Linked DNA regions of Cricetulus griseus. The protein of the gene in region 1 purifies or fractionates together with the protein of each later gene. This does not show direct contact. Links are inferred from orthologs where the notes say so. Each region holds a gene or a part of one and is shown on either strand. Other genes may lie near its edges.

Region 1 (10,389 bases):
GAGTGTTTGAATGCAAAGTAAAGACGATATAGGAAGCAAGCTTGTTGTCACAGTTACTCAGGAAACAGAGGCAGGAGGACTACAAAAAGGTGTGCCTGGATTACAGAGCCTTCATTATGTGCAAGTTGGAGGGGCAGACTGGACCACTTGAGACCTTGTCACAAAAACAAAGCTGGGTATTATGGTACATTCCTGCATCCCAAGCACTTGGAAACAAAGGCAGGAGAACATTGCAATTTGTAGCTTAGCTTTGTCTCATAGTGAGACCCTGCCTCAAAAAGAAAGGAAGGGAGGGAGGGAAGGAAGAGAGGAAGAAGGGAAAGGAAAGAAAGGAAAGAAGGAAAAGAAAGAAGAGTGCACAAACTCTAGAATCTGGGTAGTTTTACTCAGGGAAAAACAGCTGTAAAGCAAAATGAATTTTCACATCAGTAGGTCAAGAGTTGGGATTGCTCCTTGGGAAGCTCAGTGGCCAGGATAGCCCACGACACACACACACACACACACACACACACACACACACACACACACACACACGTCCCCATCCCCCACCCCTGCCATACTGTAGCATGAATAATAAAAACCTAGAGACAGATAATGTTTAAGCTGAAGATCAGAAAAGCAAAGCAGCCAAGCTGCTAGAGAGTTCTTACCTCTACCAAGGCTAAGACCAAAGGGGGTGGGGGGTGGGGACACTATCCTGTCCTCGGAGGACTGCCGACTGTAATGTTCTCCATCAAACATCAGACTGCACCAAGACTGCACTGAGCTCCTGCCTTATAATGTCCCTGGTGCTGGCATCAAAGGTATGAGCTCTGTTTCTCTTTTAGACTGATTAACTCTCATGTAGCCCAGGGTGGCCTTGAACTCACAGATATCCATCTGCCTTTGTCTCCCAAGTGCTGGAATTAAACGTTTGGCCACCACTGCCTGTCTGTCTTCTATGGCTAACTAGTGGCTTACCTCTAAAACACGTGTGTGGTTAGTTAGCATTCTGTTCTTCAGGCAAACTTTAGTTGTTAGGTTATAAACAATATATAACTACACATATGAAGAGCCTTGACTCTAAAGACTCCCAGCTGCTTTCTTTTGTTTGTTTTGAAAGGGTCCTGCTATGTATGTAGCCCTAGCTGGACTTTTCTAGAACTTCCTAGATAGACCAGGCTGGCCTCAAACTTGTAAAACCTTCCCACCTCCGCCGGAGACATTCCTCTCCCTGCTTGAGAGTCTCTTCTTGTTCACAGACCTTTCTCCTAGTTGAGCCTAACAATAACAACTATTTCTTTAGTGGTTGCTGGGTACTAGGTACTGTTGTAGAAACTTCCTTCCATACAGTTGCTAGGCTTTCTGAAGTATAGGCCTATCCCACCTGCCCCTGTCTCCCAAGTTCTAGGATAAATGTGTCTACCACCACACCCAGCTATTTTTTTGTTTGTTTGTTTTAGATTTATTTATTTATTACATGTACACTGTTCTACCTGCATGCCAGAAGAGGGCACTAGATTGAATTGTAGATGGTTGTGAGCCACCATGTGGTTGCCGGGAATTGAACTCAGGACCTCTGGAAGAGCAGTCAGTGCTCTTAACCTCTGAGCCATTTCTCCAGCCCCCAGCTAGTTTTTTTGTTGTTGTTTTGTTTGAGAAAGGGTTTCACACTGTAGTCCAGCCTCCAACTCATGGTAGTTCTGTTTCAGCTCCTGCCCAGTTTTTAACTTGGTAAGATCTCGATTTGTGTCCCAGGCTGGCCTGGCACTCACTATGATGGCCACAAACTTAGGATCCTCTCCTCCCATGTGTGTCACCACGACCAGCTATTAGTAATCTTCAGAGAGTCAAATCCAGATTGTACCAATGAAAACGAGTTTTGAAGCCAGAGGTCTGGGAATCATGTCCCTCAAAACAGCCAAAGGTCCCAATTTTAGCAGCACTAATTTAAACTAGTAGGAAACTCTAGCCAGGGGGCGGTAAACAAGGCTCCAGGGCTCAGAATTGAAAGAAGTCTGGGCTGAAGTCTTTGTGTAACCTCAGACGTCTCCGAGGAAAAGAGAAGGTCCTTGATATGTGTTCCACTCAGGCTAAGTGCCCTCCCATGCATTTTCCACAGCACTGGATACACTAGGCAGGAACATCTTGCCCACCTGTGCAGATACTTAACGCGCTTCCAAAAGGGAAGCACAGTTTTCTTACTTTGTTGTTTTTCCAGGGCTTGGCAAATTATTGGTACTCGGTTAATTTGTTGTTTGGAATATACAATTTAATGAATGAGACAGATTGGGTGAATTAAAGACCAAAGGGGCACGGCAGGAATCCAACCATTGTGCTATTTGCTCCAGAATTTAGCACAATTCCTCTCCTAATCTGCTCACCGCGTTTTGCATAAATCGGTTCACCGCGTTTTGCATAAATTGGAGGGTCAAATCCTGGAAGCCTAGAGGCTATCTACCAGATTACTCCCTCTCCTTGGTGTTGCTGGCTGGAATTTAAGACTCAGTTCCAACGAAAGGAAAAGGCAACCCAGAACCCGCCTGTGCCTAAGTTCCTTGCCACTGCTGAAGTATACTCTTGCTCCCCACCCCCACCGAAGGAAGCTGCCCAAGGCAGGGGTGCTCCTGGCCCAATCAGGCTCGCAGCATCCGGTATCTCATGCGGGACACCAGGGTCGCACAGTTTGCTGCCTTCCCCTCTGAGAACAATCCCGTATCTGTGCTAGTCACCAGATTGATCAGAGCAAGCAAGGCGGGTAAGGAGGCTGGGAAAGGGGCCTCCGCAGGTCGCCTCCCCTGAAGCCGGCGCGGTTCTCCTAGCCCTTAGCTCCCTCCTTGCCACTCGGCGCTCGGCAAACTTTCGGAGTTTTCCTGCAATTGCGTCACGGAAAAGGCAGGCGGGTGATCGAGGCCAGGAGGCGAGGCCCCGCGGCGGCTGACGAGCTCCACCGCGCGGCGCTCCCACCGGGGCGAGAGGTGGCTTTCGGCACCGGCAACTCTGCTGCTGAAACCTTGCAGCTCCCCGACTCCCGGTGCACTTCCCGAATCCCAGCCACCCGGACTGAACCCGAGGGTGGGAGGGCGCCTGCCAGAAGGAAAGAGGACGGAGAGCGGGTGGTGGCACCCTGGCCTCGGGAGGGCGGAGCTGCGCGGTCCTTGCTCCAGGACGCGCGGAAGTGCTGTGGAGTTTGCCCAATTCCCTAGCCTGATTTCCCTCGCTCATACCTCCCTCCCTCTCTCTCTCTCTCTCTCTCTCTCCCCACCCCTCACCTCCCCTGCTGCTTTCTCCTCCTTCTTCGGGACGCCACCTCCTGGACTCCTTTTCCTTCTTTTTTATTTTTTTTATTTTTTTGTTTTGTTTTGGACCTGGCTTCCCGCTGGCAGCGCTGAGGAGTTGCAAGTGCGGTGGAAAGAGGCAAGAGACTAGGACTCAGCTCATCCCTCTCGGGCCGCATCCACAGGGCATCGCAGAGAACGAACCGCCGGCCGGCCGGACAAACAGCCGGTCGCGCCATCTATTCGACGGAACTCCATCTACCAACTACTGTTGAGTGTTTGCTGGCACACCAGTGGTGGTGGGGGGTGATGGTGGAGGTTTCCACTAGTGTTACTTCTGGACAGGGGTTCTAGGACTCCGATCAGGGTCAACTTAGGTACTCCGAAACTGCTGAGGAATTAAGCAAACAAAAGAGGCAGAGAGAGAGAGAGAGAGAGAGAGAGAGAGAGAGAGAGAGAGAGAGAGAGAGAGAGAGAGAGAGAGAGAGAGAGAGAGAGAGAGAGAGAGGCTTGTCCCCCCCTTGTTCTCCGAGGGTAGGGGCTATTGCTGGGCGGGAAGAGGGCACCAGAGCGGGCGAGGCGGGGTCGCACCCCCTAGATTTTGTAGTTATCTGCTGGTTGTGCAAGCTTTTGGCCCTTGTTTTCCCTGCCTGGCTCGTTTGGAGGCCGGACACATCCACCCTTGGAATTGGTTCAGGACTCTGCTGTTATTCTCCTTGCCCCTCTTGGATTTTCTGGATTCTTGAAGACGCGGTGGCCTGGGAGGAGAGAGGAAGGAGGAAGGAACAGATCTTCAGAGGAATGTGAGAGCCTCCCAAAGCCGGAGCTGCTAGAAGGAGCTGGGAGCTGGGAGCTGGGGAGGCAGAAACTAGTCTCCGATCCTGGGACCTTGTTCCGGGGCCGATTCTTTTCTGTTGTACAACATTGTTCTAGTGGAAAGTGTCTGTCGCTTTGGATTCTTGTTCTAGCAGAGCTGTTTTCTTCAGGTCATTTGGCTTTTCTACTTGATGTGAGAGGAGGGAGAGACTCCCTCCTTCTCAGGGGCTGCCAAGGGAGAAAAGAAAAACTGTGGTCATGACCAATCTCTCCCTGCTTACAGGCAGATACCCCAAGACTGGATAAGTCAGTTTCTGGACCATGAACATTTCTTTGAAGAGAAGGCAGCTAGACAGTTTATGCTGAGACCCTGCCTGGGGGTCTGAGTAAGGTATAATAGACTTTGAGCTGCAAGTACACTTTTGGGCACCCTGCTGAGCATCCTGGGTCTGGGCAAGGCATTTCCCTTCCAGTCTTGACCAGGTAGCCTAGCCATGGCACTGAAAGGCCGAGCCCTCTATGATTTCCACAGTGAGAACAAAGAGGAAATCAGCATCCAGCAGAATGAAGACCTGGTTATCTTCAGTGAGACCTCACTGGACGGCTGGCTGCAGGGGCAGAACAGCCGTGGGGAGACAGGGCTCTTCCCTGCTTCTTATGTTGAGATTGTCCGTCCTGGCATCACCACCAACTATGTGGACTACCCTAGCAGCCTTGCAGGCTCCCTGAGTACCCAAGTGAGTTTGTATAACAGCTCTAGTATGGCCAACCCAGCCAGGAGTGGTGAGGGCAGTGGCTTCCTCTCAAACCAAGGAAGCTTTGAGGATGATGATGATGATGACTGGGATGACTGGGATGATGGATGCACAGTGGTAGAAGAGCCAAGGGCTGGTGGCCTAGGTACCAATGGGCACCCTCCACTCAACCTCTCCTACCCGGGTGCCTACCCCAGTCAGCATATGGCTTTCCGACCCAAGGCACCCTTGGAAAGGCAGGACAGTCTGTCATCTGCCAAGCGGGGCAGTGTGGTGGGACGAAACCTTAATCGTTTCTCATGCTTCGTGCGCTCTGGGGTGGAGGCCTTCATCCTTGGTGATGTGCCCATGATGGCCAAGATTGCTGAGACATACTCCATTGAGATGGGCCCTAGGGGCCCTCAATGGAAGGCCAACCCCCACCCATTTGCCTGCTCTGTAGAGGACCCCACCAAACAGACCAAGTTCAAAGGCATCAAAAGTTATATTTCCTACAAGCTTACACCCACCCATGCTGGCTCACCTGTTTACCGGCGCTACAAACACTTCGACTGGCTCTACAACCGCCTTCTACACAAGTTCACTGTCATCTCGGTGCCCCATCTGCCTGAGAAACAGGCCACTGGCCGCTTTGAGGAGGACTTCATTGAGAAACGCAAGCGACGACTCATCCTCTGGATGGACCACATGACTAGCCACCCAGTGCTCTCTCAGTATGAGGGCTTCCAGCATTTCCTCAGCTGCCTAGATGACAAACAGTGGAAGATGGGTAAACGCCGGGCAGAGAAGGATGAGATGGTGGGTGCCAGCTTTCTTCTCACCTTCCAAATCCCCACAGAGCACCAGGATCTGCAGGATGTAGAGGACCGTGTGGATACATTCAAGGCTTTCAGTAAGAAGATGGATGACAGTGTTCTGCAGCTTAGCACTGTAGCATCAGAGCTGGTGCGGAAGCATGTGGGAGGCTTCCGCAAGGAATTCCAGAAACTAGGAAGTGCCTTCCAGGCCATTAGCCATGCCTTCCAGATGGATCCTCCCTTTAGCTCTGAGGCCCTCAACAATGCCATTTCTCACACCGGCCGGACCTATGAAACTGTTGGTGAGATGTTCGCTGAACAGCCCAAGAATGATCTCTTCCAAATGCTTGACACACTGTCTCTCTACCAGGGCCTGCTCTCCAACTTCCCTGACATTATCCACCTGCAAAAAGGTAAGCCCTTCCTAAGTGTGGTGTTCTGCTGTATGGTGACAGCCTGTATGATGACAATAGCTCATCACATTTTCCTGTCTCCATCTCTATTGCAGGCTCAACAAATGTATTGAGATGATTCTGTAGAGAGTGCTGTTGTAGGCAGAGGGATATTGTGGACAGGTTTGGTCTTTGTTCTCACTGAACTTGTGTATACCATGCTGGCCACTCTGGTTTTTCTGTGTTTCATCTGCTCCATCACGCATGGAACCACAGGTACAACAACCCTGGGTTCTGGGAACACAGAGATAACCAGATCCCAGATTGTGCCTTATATGAACCCCTGGTTCAAGGGGAATCAAGACACAGACACAGGTTGCCTTACCCTCTCATAGGCTCAGCTCCTACCTTTGAGGCATTTGAGCCTAGGCCCTCCCTCTACCCTGTCTGCTAGTCTCTCTGTGCAGGAGATCTCTGTCCTCATTTTGCAGATAAGTCTGTGTCCACAGCACAGTGGTTGTGGCTCACATGGGACTATCCCTTCCTCCCTCCAGCTCCCCAAGGACATATCCATATTGGCTGCCTCCCAGGCCCATCATGTTTTCACTTCTCATGGCCCCCTGTGTGGAGGAGGGACAGGATGAGCCCCTGCCTGTTGCTGCTGTTAAGGAACTGCCAGCGAAGTGACTCATCCTGGGTCACATGGAGCACTAAGCTGGGCACAGGGGAATAGAACCAGAGTTCCAGGGCTCTGGTCACATGGGCCAGTGTATCTTCCCTTCCCAAGCTGGGCTTCTCTTGCATAAGAATTGAGTCAGGGGCTGACCTAACAGGTGACTTAGTCCAGACTTAGGGAAGGCAGAGTCAAGAGAGAGGTGTGGTCCTCCCTGGGGCTGGTAACTCAGGAAGAATATATCAGGGCGTGTGGCAGCTCCCAGTACCCTAGGCCCTGAGGTCAAGGAGTTTTACTCTGGGCAACCCCTCTGGTTTGAGTGTAGGGAAAAGCAAATGTTACCTCTGCCCTCAGGCCCCTGTCCTAATCATGATGGTGGCTGTCAGAACTCTGTCTGGCAGCCCTCATCACCTTCTCCTTTACCTCTTTTGTTTGCTGAACCCTCACATCTCCACCTACTTTCTTTCCCTTTCAGCCCCAGGGAATCAAAGCTTGAGTTCTAGCCTGGCTTGACACCCAGTTTTCCTTGTGTCCCTGATTGGGAAAGGCCTTTGCCTTCCTGGACCTTAGTTTCTTAGGCCTTTCAGGTAGAGACTTCTGGGGAAAGCCTGCCCTGTGCCTCAGGCTGGTCCCATAGATCTTCCTTTGCACTCAGAGAGGGGGCCCAGCCTGGCAGGAGCAGACGCCTCCCGCCTCCCTGTGCGGAAGTGGAGCCACACACCGTGCTGGGCCTGGGAAAGCTGGTTCAACCAGCTCCTTGGATGACATGTTTTTGTGTGGGCAGCAAGAGGCTGGGCACAATGATTAAACAGCTATCCCAACACAGTCGCTGGAGACTCTCACTTAGGGCAGAGTTGGGGCAAGAGAGACAATCACAGGTTCACACACTGAGTGTCCCAGACTCTCACCAAAGAAGGGGAAAAAAACCTACATTGTCCTTTCTACCTCAGACAGTTAAGAGAAGCCATGTCTCAGTCTCCACTTGAGATGTTTCCTAGAGTCAGGGGCTTCTGCCTTCTGGGGAAACCGGGCAGCCTGAAGCAGATGCTGCCAGAGGTCATTACCCTGTATCGGCCACCTGCAGTGCAAGCCCTGCTTACTCTAGGTTCTAAGTTCTAGCCTGAGTCTAGAGTGAGTCTGAGAGGAGGGCTTGGAGTTGATCTAAGAGACAGAACTGAGCAGGCTTTGGAAACTGCAGGGGGAGAACATCCTGTACTAGCCTTGTAGATAGAGACTTTTCTCAGAGAAAGTAACAGGATGTTTGGTCCTGCTGCACAGGATTCTATCTGTCCCATCTAGACGTTTGAACAAATTGTGAGCATGTGAGAGAACAGTTGGGGGAGGCCCAGCCAGGCCGGGGAGGCAGGAAACAGGGCCAGTGGCTGGTATGGTCCCTTCAGCACTGAGGTGATTTGACGGCAGAGTAGGTATAGGGCCAAGTATGTTGGAATCTACTGCATCAGGCAGATGGAGGAGGGAACTTCCCAAGGGCTGGTTAATTGGGTTTGATGGTACAGAAGGGAAAGGAGGAAGGAAGGAGGCTTGGACTTCATAGTCTAGGACCACCTCAGTTGGTATGCTTGTGTTCCTGAGGCAGGTCTGGGACTACAGAGCATCCTTGGGGGACCTTGGAGCTTGTGGCTTACCTAAAGCAGGGCAGTTCCTGTAGGTACAAGCTCCTGACAAGGGGACAGATAGGTTCAGCCTTATAGAATTCTTTCTTCACCTCAGCAGTGATTGCTGCTGCTCTGCTCCTTTAGCTTTGCTGTTGATCATATGTATCGCCATGTGTCTGTGTTTGGAGCTGTATATGTGAACATGAGTGAGGGTACCCACAGAGGCCCAAAGAGGGTGCATCTCCTAGAGTTGGAGTTACAGATACTTGTGAGCTGCCAACTACACTCTGGCCCTTTGCAAGAGCAACAAGTATGTTTAACCATCTTTCCAGTTCCAATAGCAGCAGTTGCTCCTCTTTCTTCTTTTTTGAAACAGGGTCTTTCTTTGTACCCCAGGCTAGTCTTTTTTTTTTTTTTTAAAGATTTTATTTATTATGTATACAACATTCTGCTTCCATGTATATCTGCACACCAGAAGAGGACACCAGATCTTATTACAGATGGCTGTGAGCCACCCAGGCTAGTCTTAACTCTTGTTTGTGTTTTGTTTGAGACAGAGTTTCTCTGTGTAGCCCTGGCTGTCCTGGAACTCACTCCGTAGACCAGACTGGTCTCGAACTCACAGAGATCCACCTGCCTCTGCCTCGGAGTGCTGTGATTAAAGGTGTGCACCATCACTGCCTTGCCTCAAACTCTTGATTGTCCTGTTTCAGTCTACTAAGTGCTAGAACAACAGGCATGTTCTACTGTTCTTGATCTGCCTAAGCTATTTTAATTTTTTAAATATTTTATTAATTCTTTGAGAATTTTATGCAGTATAATTTGATCATATTCACCCCTCTCTCTTTCTTCTAATTCTTCCCAGATGCATTCACCTCCCTACTCCCCATTTATTTATGTATGTATGTATGTATGTATGTATTTGATACAAGGTCTTATTAGATAGCCATAGCTAGCCTGGAACTCTCTATGTAGACCAGGCTGGTCTCAAATTCTGTCTCCCAAGAACTGGGATTAAAGGCATGTACCACCATCCCTTATTATTTTTTTAAATAATAAATTGAACTTACTGAGCTCAATTTGAGCTGTTCATATACTCATGCTAGGTGTGGGTGTGAGGCCATCCACATCCACTACAACATAGGTAGCCCACTTATTTTGTTTTTTTGAGAAAGATTCCCATATAGCTGAGGTAGGCCTCAAACTGGATCTTGCTATATGGCCTAAGATGACCTTGAATTTCTGAGATCCTCTTGTTCTAGGATTAGAACAGGATTCTAATCTACCTTTCAAGTACTAGGATTATAGATGTATGTTATCCCACCCAGCCCTCATATCCTGTTTTGTTTTGTTTGAGACAGAGTCTCATTACATAGCCTTGGCTGGCCTGGAACTTGACCTGGCCTTCAACTCATAGACACCTGCCTGCCTCTGCCTCCTGAGTGCTAGAACAAAAGGTGTGTGTTATCATACCTTCTAAGCTTTTATGACAGACAATTGTGTTGCCATGAGTCACCATGGGCAGGTCATTGCTGTGAGTCTTTGGATAGAAAAACAGTTTGCAGCCTGGGGAGATGGCTCAATGGGTAAATCCTACCCAAAAGCCAGGCTCAGTTAAACGTAGTGTTTCTTTGGTGCAAAGGAAAGTAAAGATGGGGTGGTGGTGGTGGTGGTGGGTGGATGGATGGATGGATGGATATCACCCAGAAGTTTGTGCTTGGCATATACAGCATTGAACAACAAAGAACACACTCTGTCTTAAGCAGAGTAGAAGGTGATGACTGACACCCAAGATTGCCCTCTGACTGCCACATGTGTATGGTGGTGCATGCATTCCTGCACCCACACGAACATGCATGCATACAAAAATGCATAAACACATATGTCACACACACATACATACACACATACTTGGAGGCAGTTTACACACCAAAGCATAAAAAGCATTCTGAGTCCTCATTTATGGCAGGTTCAGGCTTTGGCATTTTGTGTATATTAGTTCAGTTAATCCTCAGTTACCATAGAGCTAGTGCTGTTATCGTCCCTTTTTACAGATGTGGAAACTTGTAAGGCACTTGGTTGT
Region 2 (9,861 bases), about 34 Mb from region 1:
CTCCAACTGCTCCTACTAAATACTGAAGACCCTGCTTCTATCTTTTATAGAAGTGCTGGGATTAAAGGTGTGTGCTCTGTTACTCTTTTAGACTGATTCAATCTCATGTATCCCTGGGTGGCCTTGAACTCAGAGAGATCCCTCTACCTCTTAATCCTGAGTCATAGGATTAAAATTGTGTACCACCACCACCTAGCTTCTGGCTGCTGGGATTAAAGGTGTGTGCATGGCTTCTATGGCTTGTGGCTGACTTTGCTCTCTGAATCCTCAGGCAAGCTTTAATAAATCATAAATAATATAACACCACATCACAGACTAGGTAAGGCCACACAAGGCTACATGCAGAAGGCATGCTCCTCCATTTCTTTATAGACTTTAAATGTGTTACATTTATTGATCTGAATATCTGTGTACAATTGTCCCAGAGTACATGGAAGTCTGACACAACTTCCAAGAGTCTGCTCTCTCCTTCCATGTGGGTCTGGGGGACACGCTTAGGTGGGCAGGCTTTGCTGCCATTACCTTTACCCAATGAGCCATCTTGCAAGTCCTCAGTCCCACTCAGGAAATTCTCAAGTCCACCTTGAGATTGGCACTGTCATGGGTAGGTAGGAAACTGAGGCCTTGAAAGATAGCTAGCCTCATGTCACAAAATATGGAAGGGGGACGGAGGGGGGACGGGGAGGGGGGGCGACACCTCTCCCCTGAGTTCAGGCCATTCCCACACCCAGGCCAGATGTATTTATTCAGGAGTGTTTGGAGATGACATTTGGCTTCCCTTTTCCATGAGGCCACAGGCTTACTTCTGAATGATTCTATAACCTGAGGGACTCTATCAGTGAGCTCAGAAGAGCTCCCATGGACATTTCTGGGTATCTGTAAGCCTCTGAGACTGCAGACATCTCCCGGTAGCCAATGGTGTAAATCCAGTTGCTCAGTGGCTGAGGTGGTGTGGTAAGGGTTGTCTGTCCTTTCACCTTTTCTTCCGTCTAAGTTTCATGTTTGCTTATTTATTTTATGTATGTGTGCATGTGCGTTGTGCATTTGCCATGGTATATGTACACATGGTGGTCAGAGGACAACTTGGGACAGGTGGTTGCTTCTTCCCACCATGTGGTCAGGGATGAAGCCAGGTCATCAGGCTTGGTGGTGGCAAGCTGGTTTATCCACTGAGATATGTCATGGCTTTTTTTTTTTTTTTTGTGGGGTTTTTGTTGTTATTTTGGTGTTTGTGTATATTTTTACATTTTTATGTGTATGGATGGTTTGCCTGCATGTCTGTCTGTCTGCCATGTGCGTACAGTGTCCTCAGAGGTGAGAAGAGAGCATTGGATCTCCATGGAATCGAACTTCTGGGAAAGGAAACAGTGCTTTTAACTACTCATCTCTTCACCCTCCTGTTTGTTTGTTTTTTAAACTATTCCATGTATTGCTATTTCTGGATTTACCCCTCTTTCCTTCCGTCCCTACATCTGTGAGCTTGGTGACCCCTGCCTCAAGGCTGTCCAGGGATCCAGGCTTCACAGTACCCCCTGGAGAGTCCAGGATAGTGACCTGGCCATCATTTTTCTATGTAGCACATCAAACTGTCGGGGATTGTGCCTCCCAGAGGCACGCCAGTGTTGAGTTTCTGGGTTCTAGCTCCAGCACTCTTTAAGAAAAGCAAGCTGACAGCTGGGCAGAACGGGGGTATGTGTGTGGTCCTCCAGGGTCCTGTGATGGAGATGCCATTGCCCAGCCCTGGGCCTAGCTGACAAGATGAGTATTGAGAGTTTTTTTCCTTTGCTGGGAAGGACCATGAACTCCTGCCTCACTGTAGACCAGCCCTCTGTCAGGGTCACAGCACCAGCAAGAGCAGTAAAAGGAGCCCTGTGTTGCTAAAGACAGAGCAAGCTGGGATTCAGGCACTATGGGGACCCTTTCACCTCTAAGGATCCTGGCAGGGCCCTCAGCATTGCAGGTAGCAGCCATCCCTGAGAGCCAGACCACTTTTGTAGACAAGCCTTTGGTAAAGACCAGAAGGAGCCTTTTCTTTATTTTAGGAATAAAAAAGAGGAGAACAGTGCCAATTGAAAGCAAGGAGAAAGGCCCAGTTCAGCTGAGGACATCCTTCCCCAGCCCCAGGGCTCTCTCAGTCTCAGGGCTACTTTTCCCACCCTCCTCCTCCTTCCAGAATCTTCCCTGGTGGAGACAACAGTACAGAGGGCAGCACTTACCTCAGGTCCTCTGTCTCCACTGCTGCTGCTGGCCCACGCCCAGCCTAACCAATGTGCAGACTACTGTACATATCACAGCCTGCTGAACAGCTAGTCTGAACACTGGGATGGCGGGGGTGGTGGTTCAGCCCTCAGGGTGACCACTGTGCAGGCCAGGGAGCCTCTGCTTCTCCCAGGGTCCTCCATTCATCCTTGCACCCTGGGCTCTTCTGACGTGGCAAAGGCAGGGTGACTGGCTCACATCTGGATAAAGTTGGGGTTTTCAGGAAATCTGAAGGCGGGCTGGAGGAGGGCTTGAGTTGATGGCCCACGCCACAGAAGGAGGGAGGTCCCTATGCAGTTGTGCGCTCTGTAAGCAAGCGCATGCGCACACTAATGCATGTGCCTGTGACTGAGACTGCAGCTGCCTGATCCTGGGCAGAATCATATATAAACAATTCCAGATGTGGCAAGCCTAGATGTCTGTGACTCAGTTACTTGGCCCTGGCCTGCTGGTGAGAGGCTTCCTGTCTCATGACACCAGAGGGTGCAGGCCACAGAGTTACTCTGGAAATTACCCCTCATAAACAGAAGTTCCTTCAGGGACCCCCAAATTCCCGACTTTGTTTCTTATAACCAGGCAGACTTCAAGGCTGCCCTTCCTATTTGGGGATCTCAGCATGTAGGGCAGGTATGAGGGTGTTCCACCCTCCATGGCCACAGCCCCTCTGCCTGTGCTCAGAGGTCAGTCAGAGCAACAATAGGAAACCTGGAGCCAAAACCATACCACCCTCCCCATGATGAGACGCCTCAGTCCTCTTGACAGGTGGGGAATGGGCACAGGGGAGAAGCAACTTGTCCTAAGACACATGGCCTAGAAAGGCAGAGCAGTTTAACACAAGTACACATGCAGTGTTCAGACTGGCCCCGCCCATCCCCTACCCTTTCAGCACTATAGCTGCTGGAGAATTCAGGGGTGCTTTTCCAAAAAGCTTCATGCTGGGGCTTTTTGATAACACAATGGCCAGAAACATTAGAAAGAGTGATAAAAAGTGGCTGGGGAGCCAGCTCTGTGGGGAAGAATACTTATGCTGCAGCATGGGGACCTGATTTCAGCCCTAGGCAGGAGGATGTTTGGGGCTTGCTGGCCAACATCCTAGCTCCAGGTTTAGTGCAAATGCCTGTCTCAAGGAAAGATGTCCAGGTGAGGGTCTAAGGCTAGGGCTCAGTTGTTAGAGCTTTTGCCTGGCTTGCACAGAGGCCTGGGTTCCATCCCAGGACTGCAAGACCTGGCTGTGATTGGTGGCTCGGGCCTAAAATTCATTACAGCTCTTGTGAGGCAGAAGGATGAAGAATTCAAGGTCATCCTCAGCTATATAGCAAGTTGGAGGCTAGCCTGGGCTACGTGAGACTTTTTGTTTTGCTATAAGTCTATATGGTATAGAAAACCTTCACAGAGAGCTGGCTTTTCATCTACAGCCTTTTTTTTTTTTTTTTTTTTTTTTTTTTTTTTTTTTTTAAGCCACACACTTTTTTTGTTTATTTATTTATTATGTATGCGGTCTTCTGCCTGCATACCAGCAGAGGGCACCAGATCTCATAACAGATGGTTGTGAGCCACTATGTGGTTGCAGGGAATTAAACTCAGGACCTCTGGAAGAACAATCACTGCTCTTAACTGCTGAGACATCTCTCCAGCCCTCATCTACAGGTTACACAGTGGCCCCACTCTGTGCCCCTGGACAGCCAGCTTCCTACCCCGAGTACATGTAAAAGGAAAAGTTCTGGGAGTGGATCAGTGTGGCTTTGGCTTCAGCCACTGCTGCCAGTCACATGGCTATGAGAGTTGTAGAGAGACTAACTGGCACAGGCCTATCATTGCTGCTACCTGGGTTGCTGATACAGGAGGATTAGAATTTACAAAGGGACTGGGAAACTTAATGAGAAGTAAGAAGAGTGCTGCTGCCTGAGCAATGGATGCTCACCTTTGAGTTCCTGGGTTGCAGCTCCAGCATTGCGATGAAGAAAAAAGAGCGCTTGGGTTGGCCTCAGTGGCCTGGCATGCATGAAAAACTGGGCTTGATTCCAAGCATGGAGTAGAGAGACGGTGACTCACAAAGCCAGTGACACTTCTATGGCATTGGTGCCCTGGCATCAGCCTCCCGGTTCTGGCATTCAAGAAGGCCTCTGTGCTTCAGCCTTCCTTACTATGAGTGGGATTGTCACCATAACTCAGTGACATGAACCAAATTCTAGCTGTCAATTCTGTCCATTCATCTAGAAGTGGGGAGGACCACCTGGGAATAAAGAGTGGTCATGTTACACGTGAAGTTAGAACTGAGTAGTTTGAACACCCACTGCATGTGTGCTCTAGATGAAAAACAAAATTGGCAGGCATCCATCTGGGAACGGTCATGTAGGTCATAAGCATAGTGTCTATAGTAGGGTGGGATGGGGTTAGCCCTAAGGTCCCTTCTGCTCAGAGACCTTAAGGAGGAAGCGGGGGAGGGGGGGAGGTGCAGTGCCAGGACAAGAACATTCTGAACAGAGACGTCCTGAAGTTTTGAGGGAACATTGGAGTGAACAAGGGGCGACACACCTCTCAGCACCAAGTCAGGTGTTGGCAGCAGCTGTCAAGTGGCTGCAGGCTCTGCCCTGTCAGCCTAGGTGAGGCTTCTGCCCTCTGCTTAGGAGAAAGAGAAGAAGTACATGCTGCCGCTGGACAACCTCAAGATTCGGGACGTGGAGAAGGGCTTCATGTCCAACAAGCACGTGTTTGCCATCTTCAACACAGAGCAGAGGTGAGGAGCCTGCAGGCCCCTGGGAGAGCCCATTGCCCAGTGGCCTTGTTCACTGCTTCCGGAGTCCTGAGCACTCTCTTGAGTCATTTCCCCAGGGTCTCACCTTGTAGAAAGGGAATGCAGTTAAACTGTTCCAGGAGTGTTTCTGCGTAGTGGAAGTGAGGGCTCAGCGAACACCGTAGATGCAGACGATGGAATGAGCATGAGGACCTCAGTCTGCCCTCCCACACACCCAGTGCTGGGGAGGCAGAGATGGGAGGGCCCTTGGTAGTAACCAGCCAGCTAGATTAGCCAGTTCTGTAAGCTGCAGGCCAGTGAGGCAGACCATGTCTCAAAGAGGAAGGTGAACAGAAGGTGAGGAAGGTGTCTGTGTTGACCTAAGCCTGCATACACATGCACATACCATGTCCACAGACTTGACCTGACCCTGACCCTCACCTCATTCCTAAGTACAGAGACCATTCAGTGATGGAAGCTGTATGTGTGGCTCAGCAGTAGAGTGCCCGCCTGGAGTCTCCTAGCGAGAGTCTGGAGGTGTGGTACAGTGAGCTGGTCAGATGGCTCAGAGAGTAGAAAGTGCAGTCCTGATGACCTGAGTTTAGTCCTTGGAATGTACGTAAAGATGGACTTTGCAAATGGACACACACACACACCATTATAATTATTGAAAAAGAAATTTTAAGCTATCTGTTATTTTGGGCTGCCACACCAGGCAGTGCAGATTGAGTATGTCTCTGCTGTGGTAGGAAGTTCTGGTGGACATGGTTGCTGGGCTCTTCCTTGCAGACACCTCAGTGGAAGCTCCCAAGCCAGAGCAGGGTATCATGAGATATACCCAACATGGGACTGGTGGACAGCCATCCCTGCAGAACAGGAAAGAGGTGGCAGAAAGCAGAGGCAGGTAGGTCTCTTGAATTCGAGGCTAGCCTGGTCTACCGATCAAGTTTCAGGGTAGCCAGGGCTATATAGAGAAACCCTGTGTTGCAAAAAACAAACAAAAAGCAAACTTCCAACTTAAGAGGGAATGAGTTCAAGTTCATTGCTCAAGCCCATCGCTGTGAGGTGGTCAGGATAGCAGGAGCCTGAGACCCAGGGGCACGCCCCATCCCCATCAGAGACGGACAGGAGCTTGCATGCTCCCTCCTTTGCTTGCTGGCACTGAGGAAGTACACGGTGTCATGTGCCACTACACTGAGTGGAGACAATGCTCCACAGGCGCACAATCCCCATGTGTCCTCCACACGGAGTTCTAGGTTGCGTCAAGTTGATAATTAAAACCAACTGTCATAGAGAAGAAATGTCTGACCTCAGATACCAGGTTGGAATGTCAGGCATGGTGGCACACACCTCTAATCCCAGCACACAGGAGCCTGAGGCAGGAAGTTCTAAGTTTGAGGCTGGCTTTGGCTGTGTAGCAAGCCCTGCCCTATAAATAGCAAGCTGTCAACACTTCTGTACCAGATTTGTTTGATCTGATGGTAGTGTGTGTATATGGTATGTTATTGGTGCTATAGTGTACATGGCAGGCACCCAGAAGTCCTTTAAAAACTGGAGAGAGTACTAGACCCACCTTCATGCCCAGATCAGGCAGACAGACACACCACCCCCAATCCCATGCTTTTAGTGATCAGTCAAGTCCCCTTCTTCTACCCAGGAATGTCTACAAGGACTTACGGCAGATCGAACTGGCTTGTGACTCCCAGGAAGATGTGGACAGCTGGAAGGCTTCGTTCCTTCGAGCTGGAGTCTACCCAGAGAAGGATCAGGTGAGGAGCTACCTTCCCTTCGTAAATGACATACCAGAGGCTGCCTGGGAGAAGGAACTTCTAGGTCATAAGCATTAATCAGCCTTTCTTTGCTGTGGTAAAAATAGCTGCCATAGCCTATGGAAATGGTTTAGGTGGTGAGGTGCTTGCAACACAAGCACAAGGGCCTGAGTTCAATACCTACAACTACATAAACAACAGCCAAGTGTGGCGGTGCAGAAGAGGCCGGGAGAGGAGGACAACTAACGTCCAGTAACCAGCAACCTAGTCACATCAGTGACCCCCAGGCCCTGGGGAGACACTTGTCTCAAAAAGTACCCTGGTCTTCATAGTGAGTTCTAGGCCAGCCAGAGCCACACACCTGTCTGAAAAAAAAAGTACCTGCTGTGTATGAAAACTTTAGTTTGGATTCCCAGAACTCTAGTAAAAAGCCAGGCACAGACTGTGTTTGCCTGTTATCCCAGTCTTGAAAAGTGGAGGTACTTGGGATGAAAACAGGTGTGTGGATGGATCCTTGAAACCTGCTTAACAGGCAACCTAGAAAAATTAGTGTGCCCCAGATTCAGAGATGGTTAAGGGAATGGAGTTACTTCTGCCAGGCCAGAGGATGTGAGCTTGAACCCCAAAACCCACATGTTGGAGAGAGAGAACGGATTCCCACAAGTTGTTTTTGACCTACACGTGCCATAGCACACACGTGTTCACACAAATACATACATGTACAAAACATAAATGTGGGGGTTTGTTGGGGTTTCTTTTTTTTTTTTTTTTTTTTTTTTTTTTTTTTTGAGGCTGGGTCTGTGTGGCTCTGCCTGGCCCACAATTCACTATGTAGACCAGGATAACCTTGAACTTACAGAGATCTATCTGCCTTCTGAGTATGAGAATTAAAGGCTTGTGCTACTACCCCTGGAATAAAATGTAATTTTAAAAATTTTAAAACAGGTTCTGGGGCTGGAGAGATGGCTCAGAGGTTAAGAGCACTGACTGTTCTTCCAGAGGTCCTGAGTTCAATTCCCAGCAACCACGCGGTGGCTCACAACCATCTATAATGAGATCTGGTGCCCTCTGCTGGCATACAGGCAGAAGACTGTATACATAATAAATAAATAAAATCTTTATTTAAAAAAAAAAAAAAAAAAAAAAAAAAACAGGTTCAAGACCAGCCTTGCCTACATAGTAAGCTCTAGAACAGCCAGAGCTACATAGGGAGACCCTGTTATTCATAGATAGATAGACAGATAAATAGATAGATAGATAGATAGATAGATAGATAGATAGATAGATAGATAGATCCTGTAATTCATAAACAGACATTTTGAAGTAGTAAGGAGAGGCCCATGTGTGTCGGGCTACAACACACACACACACATACACACACACACACACACAGAGAGAGAGAGAGAGAGAGAGGAAGAGAGAGAGAGAGAGAGAGAGAGAGAGAGAGAGAGAGAAATGGCTCATATGAATGATATATACACATACATACAAATCAATAAATACCTGTTACATATAGCAAAGGGAGAGGTATTCTGTTTGGCTCCTGGTTTTAGAGGGCTCAAGTCCATAGCTACTTGGCCCCATGTGTGTAGCCTGTCTGTCATGGCAGTGGTGTTGGGGCACAGGTAGGAAACAAAGGGGAGGACGTGAAAGGGCTGGGGCCAAGGTGTCTCCAGGCATACACCTCTAGTGACATACTTTCTCCAGCTAAGCCAAGCTTTCTGAAGTTTAAAGAGCTTCAGAAATACAGTACTGTTGTTCTAGAGAGATGGCTCAGCAGATAAAAGCAGTGGCCACTCTTCAGAGGACCCAAGTTCAGTTCCCAGCACCCACATGACAGCTTACAGCTGTCTATAACTCCAGTTTCAAGGGATCTGACACCCTCTTCTGGCCTCTGTGGACACATGCACACATATGGCATGTATACGTACCAACACTGATGTACACATAAATAAAAATAAATCAAAAATAAAAATCTTGCCGGGCGTTGGTGGCGCATGCCTTTAATCCCAGCACTTGGGAGGCAGAGGCAGGCGGATCTCTGTGAGTTCGAGGCCAGCCTGGTCTAAAGAGCAAGTTTCAGGACAGCCTCCAAAGCAATAGAGAAACCCTGTCACACAAAAACAAAACAAAACAACAACAAAAAAATACAGCAGCACTAGCTGGAGCCAAAGGTACCAACACCCAAGCCCATCGTTCATAGTCAAACCTAACACAGGACAAGCATGGTTTGTCATGAGGGTCCAGAGACTTCTCCAGCACAATCCATGGCCTGGAAGGCAGGTGGACTTGGACTCATGTGCCTTGTTTTCTTTTTCTTTTCCCTTCTGTTCCCACCTCTGGGAAGAGTCCAGCCTGGTTTTAACTAGTATAGACCACATGGTCTAATGGGGCTGTTTGGAACCCACTGGAGGAGGTTGGTTGTCATCAGGGAAGGCACATAGTTCCCAAGAGTTGGGACTCAACTACAGCTGTTCAGTGATGCTCATCTTCTCTGTGTTCCTTGTAGGCAGAGAATGAGGATGGAGCACAAGAGAACACCTTTTCCATGGACCCGCAGCTGGAACGGCAGGTGGAGACCATCCGAAATCTGGTGGACTCCTACGTGGCCATCATCAACAAGTCCATCCGTGACCTCATGCCAAAGACCATCATGCACCTCATGATCAACAATGTGAGTGAGTGGCAAGTTCCAAGTTAGTCAAGGTCTTGGCTGAGGCTTACTGGGCTAGGGATCCAACCGCAGCACCACAAAAACCAGGCATGTTGCAGTACACCTGTCAGCCAGGCCCGAGGATCAGAAGTTCACCATCATCTTCAGATACATAGCCATTTTGAGGGGATCTTTGTTTATGTAAGACCCTGTCTCTAAAACCAAAACCAACGCAGGCAAGATGCCTCAGAAGGTAAAGGCCCGGGCCCTGAAACCCACTCCCCACAGCTGCCCTCTGACATGCATGCAGGGATGCACACACACACAACACACACACACACACACACACACACACACACACACACACACACACACACACACACAAGACATAGAGTAAGAACATTATCCCCGCAATGGGAGGCAGAGGCAGGCGGATCTCTGAGTTC

Evidence for each region.
Region 2: the proteins of Snx33 (region 1) and Dnm2 purify together in Homo sapiens (co-immunoprecipitation; 3 studies listed by BioGRID and IntAct, with this or other methods). This does not show direct contact. The link is inferred for Cricetulus griseus from reciprocal best matches to the Homo sapiens genes SNX33 and DNM2.

Annotation. Positions count from the first base shown.
Region 1 is NC_048597.1:168,444,625-168,455,013, reverse strand, and holds the start of Snx33 (sorting nexin-33), read left to right. Parts: upstream 1-3,409; 5' UTR 3,410-4,060; exon of another isoform or gene 4,061-4,356; 5' UTR 4,357-4,567; coding exon 4,568-6,038; intron 6,039-6,133; exon of another isoform or gene 6,134-6,293; intron 6,294-10,389. UniProt on the Homo sapiens protein: Plays a role in the reorganization of the cytoskeleton, endocytosis and cellular vesicle trafficking via its interactions with membranes, WASL, DNM1 and DNM2. Acts both during interphase and at the end of mitotic cell divisions.
Region 2 is NC_048597.1:134,364,297-134,374,157, forward strand, and holds part of Dnm2 (dynamin-2), read left to right. Parts: intron 1-2,252; exon of another isoform or gene 2,253-2,332; intron 2,333-4,886; coding exon 4,887-4,996; intron 4,997-6,650; coding exon 6,651-6,762; intron 6,763-9,271; coding exon 9,272-9,436; intron 9,437-9,861. UniProt on the Homo sapiens protein: Catalyzes the hydrolysis of GTP and utilizes this energy to mediate vesicle scission at plasma membrane during endocytosis and filament remodeling at many actin structures during organization of the actin cytoskeleton.